2 linked regions of the Neurospora crassa OR74A genome follow. Each later gene encodes a partner of the first gene's protein in a complex. Links are inferred from orthologs where the notes say so. Each region holds a gene or a part of one and is shown on either strand. Other genes may lie near its edges. The genes, in order: NCU03597 and NCU02232.

Evidence for each region.
Region 2: NCU03597 (region 1) and NCU02232 share a complex: the UniProt entries of both Schizosaccharomyces pombe proteins name them as parts of the alpha DNA polymerase complex. The link is inferred for Neurospora crassa OR74A from reciprocal best matches to the Schizosaccharomyces pombe genes spb70 and spp1.

Annotation. Positions count from the first base shown.
Region 1 is NC_026505.1:1,789,203-1,796,633, reverse strand, and holds NCU03597 (DNA polymerase alpha/primase associated subunit), read right to left. Parts: upstream 4,948-7,431; 5' UTR 4,707-4,947; coding exon 4,216-4,706; intron 4,158-4,215; coding exon 2,822-4,157; intron 2,744-2,821; coding exon 2,567-2,743; 3' UTR 2,335-2,566; coding exon of another isoform or gene 754-2,334; 3' UTR 613-753; downstream 1-612. Other genes in the region: NCU03598 (microfibril-associated protein), read left to right, coding at 754-2,334; NCU03596 (CRAL/TRIO domain-containing protein), read left to right, coding at 5,619-6,246, 6,300-6,901. UniProt on the Schizosaccharomyces pombe protein: Accessory subunit of the DNA polymerase alpha complex (also known as the alpha DNA polymerase-primase complex) which plays an essential role in the initiation of DNA synthesis.
Region 2 is NC_026507.1:3,250,304-3,257,373, reverse strand, and holds NCU02232 (DNA primase small subunit), read right to left. Parts: upstream 3,547-7,070; 5' UTR 3,372-3,546; coding exon 2,956-3,371; intron 2,903-2,955; coding exon 2,702-2,902; intron 2,639-2,701; coding exon 1,525-2,638; 3' UTR 1,185-1,524; downstream 1-1,184. Other genes in the region: NCU02231 (tRNA (guanine-N(1)-)-methyltransferase), read left to right, coding at 1-1,134; NCU02233 (glycosyl hydrolase), read left to right, coding at 5,699-6,082, 6,145-7,070. UniProt on the Schizosaccharomyces pombe protein: Catalytic subunit of the DNA primase complex and component of the DNA polymerase alpha complex (also known as the alpha DNA polymerase-primase complex - primosome/replisome) which play an essential role in the initiation of DNA synthesis.

The sequences.
Region 1 (7,431 bases):
CGCGGGATGCGGAGACTGGCAAGAGAGCGAGCGTGTCGAATGAGGAAAAGTGAAGCCTAAGCAGAGGACAAAAGTCGGGGGGGGGGGGGGGGGGGAGAAGAAGGGAACTTATAGAGGTAGAAAGGCGGGGATGCCTGCAGTGATTGGGTGAACACGAACGGGCCAAACAACAGCTGGGGAGGCCAATATATACATAGGAAATAGGTACTACACGCCGGATGCTTCGTCCCCAACCCTGCTTCCAGGACTTTCTTCCTGTCTTGGTTGAGCTATGTACCTTCCTCAATATCTTGTTGCTTTTCCAATTGGCATCATTCACTTCCTTCTAGGTACCTGGATAGGCACTTTCTGTAAGTCTTGGAGCCCCCTTCCTGTCCTAAGAGTTAAGTGTTCCGTTCGTCGCGTCGCTGCAAGTCGGAAAGCACAGACCAAAAAACACCCGAACACAGACACACAGGGCTGTCATGCGGGGCATTCGATCGCTACGGCGGGTCGTGGCCCTGCCGGGCAGCGGGAACCAAACACACCCGCTGCGAGGTCCACTTGCCGCGTCACAAAATTTACTGCACGTATCGTACTACGTGACGTTGCACTGTAATTTCATCATTACACCCGGACATGAAAGTTGCATTTCCCAGCATTTCATTTTGAACGCCATTCCGCCCGTCCTTAAGGTTCGCCACCTGTACTTGATCATTCAGCCTTGCATTGCCATCCAGATATCAGCTTTACACGTCCACAGCCACGCCCGTCATGCCGCCAGCTAAGAGCATGACGGCCAACCCGGTCAAGGCACCGCGCTACCGCGCCGGCAAGCCCACCGGTGTCGACTCCGAATCCGAATCCGACAACGTTCCCGAAGACGAGGAGGAAGCCCCCAAGAAGCCTTCCACGCGGAAAGCGCCAGCGCCCAAGTTTGCCAATGCAGCAGGTCCTGGCCGAATCATCAGTCGTGGCAACGATGGCAAGATCAACTTGAAAGCCGCCGGAATAGGCAGCAACGCCCCAGACAACGAAGAAGAAGAGAAAAAGCGACGGGAGGCAGCTGCGAAGGCGCGCATTGCGGCCGAACAGAAAGCAAGAGAGGAAGGGTTCGTGACAGAGGAGGAAGACGAAGAGGAAGAGGAAAGTGGCAACGAGGAAGAAGAGTCGGAAGAGGAAGAGAGCTCAGAAGAAGAAGAGGAAGCACCAAGGCGGTTGATGCTGCGACCAAAGTTCATTCGAAAGGCCGACCGCGAAGCTGGAGTAACCGCATCCAACTCCGCCTCGACAAACAAGAAATCGACACCCGAAGAAGACGAAGCAGCTGCCGCAGAAGCCCGCCGCCGCGCCGCCGACGAGCTTGTCGAAGAGCAAATCAAGAAAGACCTTGCCGCCCGCGCCGCTGGCAAGAAGCACTGGGACGACGACACCGACCCAGAAGACGACCAAATCGACGACACGGATGACATTGACCCCGAAGCCGAATACGCTGCCTGGAAACTGCGTGAGCTGAAGCGCGTCCGGCGCGAGCGCGAGGCTATCGAAGCCAAGGAGAAGGAACTCGCAGAGATCGAGCGCCGACGGAACCTCACGGAAGAAGAACGTCGCGCCGAAGATGAAAAACACCTGCAGCAGCAGAAGGAAGAGAAAGAGGGCAAAGGCAAGATGGCATACATGCAAAAGTACTTTCACAAGGGTGCTTTCTACCAGGATGAGAGCAAGGAGATGGGACTGGACAAGCGAGACATTATGGGCGCGAGGTTTGCGGACGATGTTAAGAACCGGGAGCTGTTGCCCAAGGCGCTGCAGCTGAGAGATATGACCAAGCTGGGAAGAAAGGGCGCCACCAAGTACAGAGACCTCAAGAGTGAAGATACGGGACAGTGGGGCCGCCTGCATGACAACAGGCCAGGGAGGGAGTTTGACAGGTTTGGAGATGAAAGGTTCCAGCCTGATGACTCTCATAGGGATCGGTACAGGGATAGGGGTGGTGATGGGCCGAAGGGCTCGAATGCCATTCCGTTGGGTGATCGGAAGAGCGCCCCGGAGAGGTCAAGGGGTGATGACAGGCCGCGTGGTGAGGATCGGTATAGGGGAGGCGATAGAGATCGCAACCGTGGTAGAGACCATTCTCGGGACCGTTACCGTGACAGGGACGGAGACAGGGACCGTCACCGGGATCGGGATCGGGACCGTGACAGACGTCGGGATGATGATTACAGGGAGAGGCGCCGGTCGCCGTCTCCAAGACGTGATCGTGATCGCGACCACGGCGAGCGGAGGAAACGGTCACCATCCAGAGAGCGGGACCGGTATGAGAGCGACAAGCGAAGAAAGGTGGATACTAGGTAGTCCATGTCTTGCCTACCTGCGGCCTCGTCGGCTCATGCAAGAACTTCTCACATTAATACTGTTGTATCGTCAAGGTGAATGTGCAAACTCTTTTTCATCCCGACGCCAAACCACCTGGTTATACCTATCCTCATGCCAATGCCGAATACAAATACATGGAAACCAGATTTATACCTCCAAATTTTCACATCATCAAGACATGTCTACCAAACCCAGAACTTCGAGATTAAGTTTAAATCCTGGTGACCTCGACTCTTGCCCTCTCAAAGATCCTATGGGCAAGCATCCCACCTGGCGCAGCATCCGCCTCCGACAGTTTTGGCGGATACAGTGTCATCCTGGCATATGTACCGGCTCGCTTGCGTTGTGATAGATACCCGGGGTTGATGACCAACACACTTTCAATGACCTAGACAAGAAAGTCAGTAACTGCACGCATTCCCAGGATGAAAAGCAAATTCAGCAACACAACAAAAAAAAAACATACCTTGGCGAAAGGCGGCAACGCGCTCGGCACAATCAACACATCCGGACGCACATTAACCATCTCGCCCAACTTCAAATAACTGATATCCAGCATGGCGCCCGGCGCAGCCTGCCCATCAATCACCTGTCTCCCCGTCTTGGGCAGCTTCGTCCGATCCGTCGGCGGAAACAGCGGGAAATAATGCCTCTGCTCGATCAGATACCTCGCCACCCTCGACAAGCCATTGGTATCCTCCACCGTGCCGCCAATCAGCTCCTCATGCTTGAGCTCCCACAGCGCATCCTGACTGCTGATCCCCACCAACGTCTCGTTGAGGCTGAGCGTCATTGGGTTGCCAAGGATCTTGATGCTCTTGTGCAGGCCGAGCTCCTTGCGGGGGAAGGGGTCTTGCGGCCAAGAGACGTGGCGGTCGATTACGTCGCGAACCGAGGGAACGAGCAGGATGGTGACGTGCGGATTGGCGGACACGAGTCGGTTCAGCGCGGGCGAGATGAGATACTTGAAGACAGTGTTCAGAGTTGCAGCGTCAGGGTCGTAGACGGCTTCCTCGGGGAGGTCGAAGTCGCCTGATGCAATGAGGGGGTGCTCGGCGTCGATGAAGGGGCCGGTGAGGATGACGGCGTCGGCATAGGTGTCTGCTGCTTCGTTGATGAAAGTGTGGAGGGGCTCGAAGTCGAGGTTGTCGTCGGCGGTGTAGGGGCCAGAGGCAAAGATGACGTTAAGAGGCATGGGGTTTTCGTCGTCGGTGTCCATGGCGTCCGGACCGCCGCGTAGCCTCTCACGGTGTGCTGCCATGGTCTCTAGTGTGGAGGCAGCATTGCCCATGAGAGGCATGCGTATGACTTCGTTGACGGTGAACTCACGCCCCGTGGTATTGGTTCCGCGTAGTGCGACGATCTGTCCGGGGAAGAACTGGTAACCCTTGAGCTTGCTGACGTTTAGGGGTACCCGGAAACCGCCGCCCAACTTTCTGGAGGTTTCTAACACGAGGGAAGCGGCGTTGAGCTTGCCCTCGGACGTATCAGAGGCGACACGCCCGACTGCCACGATCTCTGTGGTACTCTGCATAGCCGCGCTGCCGAATACCGACTCGTCCAACTTGTAATGTTCCAGAACCAAACTTGTAAAGTCGTCTATCCTGTCGTCCAAGATCTCGGATGCTTCAGAAAGCTTCATTGCTAGTGGCTTGTAGCCCAATTTCTTCAGATCGGAGGCGGCAGTAAGTTTGATGCGGGACTCGCCGAAGGGAGCGATGGGTGGTTCGGGCGCAGGGAGATTTTCGTTGAGGATTTCGATCACTTCGCCGGCGTTTGGTCTATCTTTGAAAGAAGATGGTCTTGGAACGGTTAGCAAGGTACATACAGTACGTATGCAGGGAACTGGTCTGGACATACGGAATCACGCCCATGGCATCTAGTTGTGCCTCCAGCTTCATCGGCGAGCTTACGGGCTCATTCTTCAAGCGGGAGCCGATGGGAGTCCCCATTGGTGTTTTCCTAGCCGAACCAAGCTTTGCTGCCCGTCGAGCTGCCGGTGTTGTGAGTCCATCAAGCATACCAAACACATCGCTATTGTTCCTCGCTCCTGGCCTTGGTGTTCCTCCCGGTCGCTTTTCGGTCTTGACTTGCTCCAACGCCTGAGCTCGGTTTGCTCGTTCTAGTGTGTCTTGTAGGTCCTGCTTGAACTTGCGAACAGTGGACATGGACATCTTGGGCTGGTCCATGTCCATCTTGATGCAGTACGACTCCCACTTGAAGAACATGTCTTGAACGTCGAGTTCGTGCAGGCGCATAATCGACTGGAGCTCATATATGACATCTGGAGAGAGCTCGGTGTTGGCAGTGCCGAAGCGCTCGTTGAGCTCGGCCACGACTGGATCGGCCATGATCGCAATGGCAGGTGATGTTTGCGCCTCGTTCTTCTCTTCGGTGCTCGTGATGTTTGACAGATTTAGTCGATGCAGTCCCGTCCCTACTTGAAGTTGCAACAAATAGCGGTTCGAGTTGTGTGGTCGCAGCTTGAGTGGCACAATGAACAAACAAACAAACAAACAATTCGGTATCACGAATATGATCACGGAGGGGAACCACCACTACACATTCACAGGACGCGCCATTGTGGTGCTGACCGCGCCGTAGAAATCAATTAACGCGAAAACACGCTAATCCAATTGGCAGGGGTGGTCCTTGTGGCCCGAGGGTGTGACGCAGCGGCGCTGTAGCTCAGGGGATCTGTGGCTGGTGCGCGGCGGCTTCCCTAGCTCCACAATCCGGAAAGCGCTTTGCTGCAAGTTTAAGACGTACTTGCAAGTTGCAGACGGATTGTCCAAACTCTTCAAAGTGAACGCAGGGGCAGCAAAATGTCCATCAAGCAGGTGCACTGCTTCATCAAAACTCGAGAAGATTGACATGTTGGGTTTGTCACCAATTCCGTCAAGCCAGCACATATTTTCAATGGTGAAATACAAATCTTCTACATCTTGCTTCCAAGCAAGTCTTGGCTTTGCTTCGGTCCAGACGGAAAGACATTCGCCAATTTCCGTGATCATCGAAGCGATCTGCCCTGAGGCCAGCAATCAAAGCCCCTAATCTGTTTGGTTGCGGCTGACACATCGTCGGTCGCTTGAGATTGGGCTCATGGCATCGTCCAATTCCACTGCACTTCCACTTCAACGTATCTCAACTTTCTTTTTCTAAGCCAACCTCCTACGTCTCGTTCCGTTTTTTCCTGCATTTTCTGATCTTGCTCACTCTACTCTCTTTAATTCCCAAATTCTTTACCACGTCGCTCGCTCAAAATGGCCACTGTCCTCAAGGTCCCTCTGGCTTCCCCTACCCCTGACAGCCAGCCCAAGCCCCAAGCGGCGCTTACGGCTGACCAGGAGGAAAAGTACAACTGGTTGCTCGAACAAGTCAAAAACTGGAAGGAAGTCCCTGCGACTGAGGGCAAGGCCGGTCCCATCACCGATAGAGAGAAGTTCTGGTTGACTCGGGAATGTCTCCTCCGCTTTCTGCGCGCAACAAAATGGAATCAAAAGGAGGCTGAGAAACGCATCCTGGGCACGCTCACGTGGAGGAGAGAGTACGGCGTCGAGGAGTTGACTGCGGATCACATCTCGCCCGAAAACGAGACCGGCAAGCAGATCATCTTGGGCTACGACAAGGAGGGCCGCGTCTGCCATTACCTGAACCCTGGCCGCCAGAACACCGAGGCCTCTCCTCGCCAAGTTCAGCACCTCGTCTTCATGCTCGAGCGCGTTATCGACCTTATGCCGCCCCAGGTTGAGACTCTGTCTCTGCTCATCAACTTCAAGTCGAGCAAGTCCAGGTCCAACACGGCTCCTGGCATCGGTCAGGCTCGCGAAGTCCTCAACATCCTTCAGAACCACTACCCCGAGAGACTCGGGCGCGCTCTCATTATTAATGGTATGTGCAATGCTTAATGTCTGACGAACACCCAGAAAACTGACCAACCACAGTTCCCTGGATTGTCAACGGCTTCTTCAAACTCATCACTCCCTTTATCGACCCCAACACCCGCGAGAAGCTCAAGTTCAACGAGGACATGAAGAAGTACGTCCCCGCCGAGCAGCTCTGGACCGAGTTCAACGGCTCTCTTGAGTTCGACTACGACCATGCCACCTACTGGCCCGCCCTGCAGAAGATGTGCGTCGAGAAGCGGGAGGCCAAGTACCAGCGCTGGGTTGCCGGTGGTCAGCAGATTGGCGAGCTGGAGGATTTCATCACTGGGCATGCTCAGGTTGGCGTTGCTGGTCCTATTGCCGCTGCCACCTCTGCTCCTGAGCCCACTCCTGCCGCATCTGCGCCTGCGCCGGCTGCTGAGCCCGAGACCATTCTTGCTCCCGAGCCTGCTCTTGCTTCCGAGACTGCTCTTGCTCCTCCCCCTGTTACTGCTTCCGTACCAGTGGCAACGGAGGCTCACGACGAGGCGCCAGCCCCGGCTCCCGAGGCTGCTGCTATTCCAGAGCCCACACCGGCGGCGGTGCCTGTGGAGGAGAAGAAGGAAGAGGAAAAGCCAAAGGTTGTCGCGTCAACTGAGGTCGGAGAGACCACTGCTTAAAAGGTGCGCTCAGCTGTATAATAGACGGTGTTGGGGTTAGTCGCAATGGGTTTAGGTAAAGAGTAGAATGGTGATTTTGTCGTGTATTTGATACCAATTATAGAAAAACTAGGCGCCATTAGGGTGTTTCTGGTCAGTTAGACATCATAGAAGGCGAAGCATAATATCAGTTTAGTTTGAACAAAGGGTTGGCACTGTTTTAAGAGGTACCTACCCTACATCAAACAACACTCGGTCTCACTGCTTGATAAGGAGCACCTAACGTAGGTAGTAACAACCACGCCAAAGCTTGGTTGACAGTCTTCAAACACTAGTAAAACTCAGTGGAACATGAAACGGGTTGCTGCTTCGCCATATAACCTCATGCTCTACAGTCTCATGACTGTATGGCTACTTTATTGTCTGGACACAGGTTTGTTTTGGCCGCTGTGAATGGAGTCAACAAGTTTTGGTGCATGTGTGAGCCACCCAGTGGGACCTCGCGCGCCAACAAATAGTTTTAAGGGTTGATCTATACACTATATTCCAGT
Region 2 (7,070 bases), on another chromosome or scaffold:
CAAGCAGCTGATGGCACCCCCAAGATCTCCAAAAACCAACTCAAGCGTCTCCGCCGCCAAGCAGCCCACGAGCAATTCCGACAAGAACGCAAGGAAAAGCGCAAAGAAAAGCGACACCAACAACAAGCCAAGAAGCGAGCCCTCAAAGAAGCCGTGGTAGCCGAAGCCCAAGCGGCCGGCCAGGACCCAGAGGAGGCTCTAAAGAAACTGTGCAAGGAGCCGTGGGTGGCGCACCCCGTTCCCGTGGCCTTCATCATCGACTGCGACTTTGAGGAGTACATGCGCGAAAACGAAATTGTGTCGCTGTCGTCGCAGATTGTGCGGTCCTACTCGCAGAACCGCCGGGCCAAGTACCAGGCGCAGCTGGTCATCAGCTCGTGGAAGGGCAAGCTCAAGGACCGGTTCGAGCGGGTGCTGAAGAACGCGCACCTGAACTGGAAGGGCGGCGTAAAGTGCATCGAGGGCGACTTTATGCAGGCGGCAGAGGTTGCAAAGGGTATGATGGAGGAGACTGATGTCAAGGAGGGCATGATTGATCTCCTCAAGCCGAGTGGAAATGGTGGGTTGTTGCTTCCTGAGCCGGAAGCCGAGGAGACGGAGGAGGGTGGTGAGGGTGGTGATGCTGCTGCTGCTGCGGCTCCCAAGCCGAAGCCTGAGGAAGAGGCCGAGGATGTGAACCAGTCGATTGTTTACCTGTCGGCAGAGTCTGACTACACCCTGGACAAGCTAGAAGCGAACACGTGCTACGTCATTGGCGGCCTGGTGGATAGGAACCGCGAGAAGGGCCTCTGCTACGGCCGGGCCAAGGCGGCAAAGGTGCGGACGGCCAAACTGCCAATTGGAGAGTATATGGCGATGCAGAGCCGCTACGTCCTCACGACAAACCAGGTTGTAGAGATCATGGCCAAATGGCTCGAGTGCGGTGACTGGGGTGAGGCGTTCCTGACCGTTATTCCCAAGAGAAAGGGCGGAACCCTCAAGGCAGAGTCGTCATGTGGTACCCCTGCTGCGGACAACGGCGAGGATGATGAAGAGGAGGAGAACGGCACCCAAGAAGCCAATGGTGAGGCTGCAGCTCCCGAGGTCACAGACCAGACGACAGAGCAAGCACAAGATGTGCAAATGTCTGGGTAGAACCGCTGTCTCACCTCCACCAGAATCAATCCTTCGAATGCGAAGACGTGGATGACGGCTCTTTGCTCTGTAGGAAAAGTCCAGTGAAGATCCCCCATAACATCCAGTGGCAGATTAGATGGCCGTTGTATGGTTTAGGATGGCGGGTGCATCACAGGGCATATATACCCAATTATTTTGAGCCGCCAAACAAATACCCTTCTCAGTTATCAAAAAGGGACATGATGTTCCCATGTTCAAGCCAGCCGTAGACCTGCTAAACCTTGGCCTGCAAACGATATCCAGTCCTTACCATACAACGCCAATGACCCCTTACATCACAAGATGCACAAACATTTGACCCAAGCCTTCTATGTTTCCCCTATTCCGACTTTATTTTCAATCCACCCATCAAAACTCCATACTCTCACCTCCTCCTCCTCCTCCTCCTTCCTCCTCTCGTTCCCTCTTCACCTTAACCTCCCTCTCATCCTTCATCAACCCAATCACGAAGCTTCTGAAAAACTCAATATAGCCCTTCAGACTCGTCTTCTCCCAATCCACCACATGCTTCTCCACCTCCTGCTCCTGGCGCCCTTCTTTTGGTTCTGGCTTCTTCCACTCGTCAATCTCCCTAATCAGACTCTGCACCGTCGGCACCCCCAGCGGATCAAAACTCTCTAATCCCCTCTTCACATCAATCGGCACACACACCCTCCCTGTGCCCGGGTGCACGACAAAGGGAGACTTGAGCAAATGATTGAGTTTCTTGGACACTTCGATATCAAGGCGCGGGTACGTGTACTCGAGCACAATATCCTGCTTGGCGTCCAGGAGGGACTTGGTGTCAAAGTTTTTGGCAGTGGACGTCTTGGCCACGCTGTCGATGTCGGCCCATTTCAGGGTGGACGGCCGGTCGGGCGATGAAGCCCACTTGTTGCGCAGGGCGGACACGAGTTGCTTCTGATCCGAAGGTAAAAGGGCGAGGAGCTTCTCTTGCTGGTCCTCGGTGCGCCAGGGGTCTTGGGCCTCAAGCACGTCCGACTGAAAATGCTGCTTGAGGATGTCGAGGGAGCGGACCAAGTGCGGGTGCAGCGGCCGGCGGAGGTTGACTTTCTTGCCGCTTTGCGCGCCGCCCCGGATGACTTCGAGGTAGCCGGCGATGGCGCGTCGCTTCTGGTCGTCTAGCGCCCGCGCACTCTTGTCGCATACCCATGCGTGAGCACCGCGACGACCCGAGTATACCCACATGATGTGCTTGAAGCCAAAGTCCTCGCGCAGAGCCGTGTCGACGACCTTGATGGCCATGGTGATGAATTGCCAGCACTTTTGGCATATGTTGGCTTTGTCGCAGCAAGTACGGATGTCATCGTAGTCTGTCAGATCGATATCGAAGCAGAGTTCCTTGGACAGGGGCCGGAAAGCTGACGAGTTCCGTAGCGTTTTGCGATCGCGGGGGTTGGCTGTGTAGACGGGACCAATTTCGAAACGCGAGGGCATGAGGCGGAGGACATCTTTACGGAGTCTGTTCAGGTTGGTCGGGTTAGTAAGATGGATAGCTGGAAGGGAACCGGATAGACAAACTCACAGATCCGAGGTGGTGAAGGATTGGTATCGTAGGTATGCGTCGTTCTGCAACGTAAAGGCGAATTCACGATGGCCGAAATCGTTGGTGGGTGTTGGGCTGTGGTTAAGCCACTGGAACAGGTATCGCCATGGGAAGAGGCGCTGGTAGAATGTGCGCATGACTTCGGGATCTGAGGCTTCGTGGAGATCAATCTCCATGTCACTGTGCATAGTTAGCTTCTGCTGTCTTGGGCTTGAAATGCATGGTTGTGCTACCTTTGCGAGGAGAGCAGATCGGGCGAGCTTGCTGGCTCCCTCTTTGCTGCCTTGGTAGTAGGGAACTCGTCATCGTCAGAGTCCATCTCATCAAACAGCTCTTCGAGCTTCACTCCTGTTGCCGGTTTGCTCTCGCTCGGCGCACCCGTGGCAGCCTCTGGTACTGGGGTATCCTGATTGTTTGGCGTCTCGGCTTGACTTTCAGCCTTTGACTCTGAGATATGAGTTGTGCCATTTGTCGGGGCGGATAGGACTGCATTGGAGTCTGCCATGTCAACGTCTTCGTCTGCTGGCTGTTGGGCTTCCGGAACTTGGGCCGTTGTGCTCTCAGCAACGGCATCCTCTTGCTCTTGGTCGACATTGGCCATGGGTATCGGCGAGTTCTCTGACTCTGGTGGTGATTCGGAATGAGGCATTGTGAAGGCGCTCGAATACGAAAATAGTTTTTTCTGAAATCGAGTAGTATCCTATCGTTCCGTGAATATCTGGGAGTGTTTGGTCGGGTAAGGATTGCCTTTCTTTTTTTCTTTCTTTTTTTTCCAGTGTTGATTTCACGATTCATGGAACAACCTCAATTCAGTAATAGTCGCGTCGTAAAACCGCGGTACGCGTAAAGCACTTGCAGTGGAGCGGGGACCATGCAGAGGGGCGGGCAGGCATGCAGGGGTGCACGCTGACAACAACTGCAACCTCCAACGTCCACTGACGGCCCGGAGGGGGTGTACCTTATATAGTAGATAGGTATTAAACCCTAACCCTTCATTTAATGACAATAGGTAAACTCATGATCAAAAAATACTGTCACCTCCCCCTAATGCCTAATGCACCCTATTTATTAATATCTTAATACCAACCTTCTAGAGTGTATTCTACTACTAAACTTTAATATTTTTTAATGATTCTTATTGCAAATGAAAGGCTAGAATCTAATTTAATATTTGGTATACCAGCCTTTATTCCTTCTGTAAGCCTCGAGGCGTTTGGGCATTAAGTTGATAAGGCCGTTAATGAAGTCTTGAGGGATGCGATTCTAAATGCTAATAAGTATTTCTCTAATTCGACGCTTATTTGCTTCGTTCTCCGTTAGTAAATAGAGTTCTGGGAATTCTTTTTTCAATATCCTCTTTATTTTATTCTAAACGTACTCAATGGGGTTTAAATCCGGGCTATGAGTAGGATGCGCTATATACTAGATACCGTAGTCTTCCAACCAATCTTTAGTTTACTTCGAAGTATAGATTCTCGCATTATTTTAGAGAAAAAAAGTTCCCGGACGATAATAAGGAGCTAATCCTTACTCTAAAACATCGATATAAGAATTAGAAGTATACCTATTCCTTACTATAGTTATATTACAGTTTATAATAACGAGGTTTAATTATCTACCCTTCTAAATTATCTTCTAAACTATTAAAATAATAGAAGCTTTAATATAAGCTTTAAAATTAATTAATCCGGGTTTAAATTTATTTTAAGGCCGTCGAAATACTGAATTATTGGGCTAATTGGGGGCGTTCTAGATAGAATATTTATTAGAATAACTTCCCTATATATTTTGGTAGTTAATAGTAAGGTAAGAAAAATTTGATAAAAAGATAGGCCTACCTCCAATAAAACTTCCTTTTGATAGCGAAATTCCTTAGAATGCTCTAATCTTTTTTTGGCATCGTCCTTTGAGAGAGGAATCCTCTTTATTGAAATTTATTTTCGTCGATAATCCTTCCCTAAAATCTTCTAGATAGTATTCTTAGTAACAATGATACTACTCTTATTAATAAGGGCTCTCCAACTTATCCGAGGGCTCTTTTTGACTATTCGATGGATATATCGCTTTTTTGTAGGGGTTAACTTCTCCTTCCTACCCCTTTTAGGAAGCGCTTTGAGAGTGTGGTAATTTTGGAAGTGTTTAGAGATTCTGATAATAGTTTTAATACTGCAATCGAATTGCTGGGCGAATTGGCGATACAAAACTCCGGTATTTCACGATGCAATTATAGCTGCACATTCTGGCTCTTTTAAATCTTTTTTAAACCTTCGTATACTCTGGGCATCTCCGGTTAAATGGCGACCAAGATCAGCTATTTTGGCCGGGAGTTGATGGAATTGCAAAGGTTTAAAGAAAAGGTAGTTGTAGAAGTAATGGCGGGGTGGAAGGTTGATGCAAATGCAGGGTGGGGGGAGGTGACAGTATTTTTTGATCATTACTGTACTTAGCTCATCCTGTCAAGTGATGGAACGAGTTGGGTCCGTTTGCGGTATTCGTCCCTCCTACCGGACATCAACTCTTCAGTTCCTTCTCTTCCAATTCCCATATACCTTCCGTATTCCCGTCTCTCTCTCAAACTTTCAACCAGTCTGGTTAACGAACGGGCGGGGTGTATGCGATGGGGAATCGTTGAGCTGGCGGACCTTGGCCCACGCCCCCGTCTTCCCCGTATCGTGTGTATCCGCCCAGTTCCCCCGACGCTAAACCCCCGACGTCATTGGGGACGGGAAGGCCTAAACGTCGACCACTGACATGGAGCCGAGCAGGCAAAACATGGGATCAACGACGAGCAGGCGGGAACTACTCAACACCGACCGATCATCCCAACTCGAAACTTTTTTTCCTGACTTTTCCTTGACCTTTTAACCTACCACATAATCCATTAATCCGTATACTGGTTGGTATATTGACTCTCCATTACCTTGTGCATCATTGATACATCGCCAACCAACCAGGCATATCACTGCCACCACCAACATGGCCGGCTTCCGCCTCACCATCGAGAACGGCTCCTTTCGGGACGTCCACGGGAGACAGATTACCCTACGAGGCATCAATGTCGCAGGCGACGCCAAGTATCCCAACAAACCCGAGCAGCCTTCCCATGTCGGCGAGAACTTCTTCGATGGCGACAACGTCAAGTTTACTGGACGACCATTTCCCAAGGAAGAAGCCCACCTCCATTTTTCGCGTCTCAAGCGGTTTGGATACAACACCATCCGCTATGTGTTTACGTGGGAGGCCATTGAAGCTGCTGGCCCTGGTATCTACGACGAGGAATGGATACAGCACACCATTGACGTTCTGCGCGTGGCCAAGCGCTACGGCTTCTATATCTTTATGGATCCTCACCAGGATGTCGTAAGTGGATTTCTCTCTTGTGTAGTTGTTGAGCTTGGGAAGCTAACATTTGTGTGCCACAGTGGTCTCGTTTCTCAGGCGGCTCTGGCGCCCCCATGTGGACGCTATACGCTGCTGGTTTGAACCCACAAAGCTTTGCAGCAACGGAGGCGGCCATTGTTCATAACGTCTACCCAGAACCCCACAACTTTCCCAAGATGATCTGGTCGACAAACTATTACCGACTCGCTGCCGCAACCATGTTCACACTGTTCTTTGCTGGGCGAGACTTTGCGCCAAAATGCATCATTGACGGCGTAAACATCCAGGACTACCTACAGGATCACTTCCTCAGAGCCTGCGCCCACCTTGCCCAGCGGATACACGAGGCAGGCGACATTGAGAACGATGTGGTGTTTGGCTGGGAGAGTCTGAATGAGCCGAACAAGGGAATGATTGCCTACGAGGATATTTCTGTCATACCCAAGGAACAAAACTTGAAGAAGGGGACATGTCCGACCATCTGGCAAACCATACTTACGGGGTCTGGTCGGGCGGTTGAGGTTGATACGTGGGACATGGGCGGCATGGGTCCGTACAAGGTTGGAAGGGCGCTCATTGATCCCAGTGGTGAGCAGGCGTGGCTACCGGCTGACTACGACGAGTCTCGCTATGGCTACAAGAGAGACCCGGGGTGGAAACTAGGCCAGTGTATATGGGCTCAACACGGTGTTTGGGATCCAGCCACCGACTCCCTGCTCAAAAAGGACTACTTTGGCAAGCATCCTGCGACGGGCGAACATGTCGACTACCCGTATTTCAGTAACCGCTATTTTATGGACTTTTTCCGTAAATACCGGGACACGATACGATCGATCCACCCCAACGCCATTATCCTTCTTCAGGGACCCACGATGGAGCTGCCTCCCAAAATCATTGGTACTCCGGATGGCGATGACCCTTTGCTCGTATACGCGCCACACTGGTACGACGGCATCACCCTCATGAC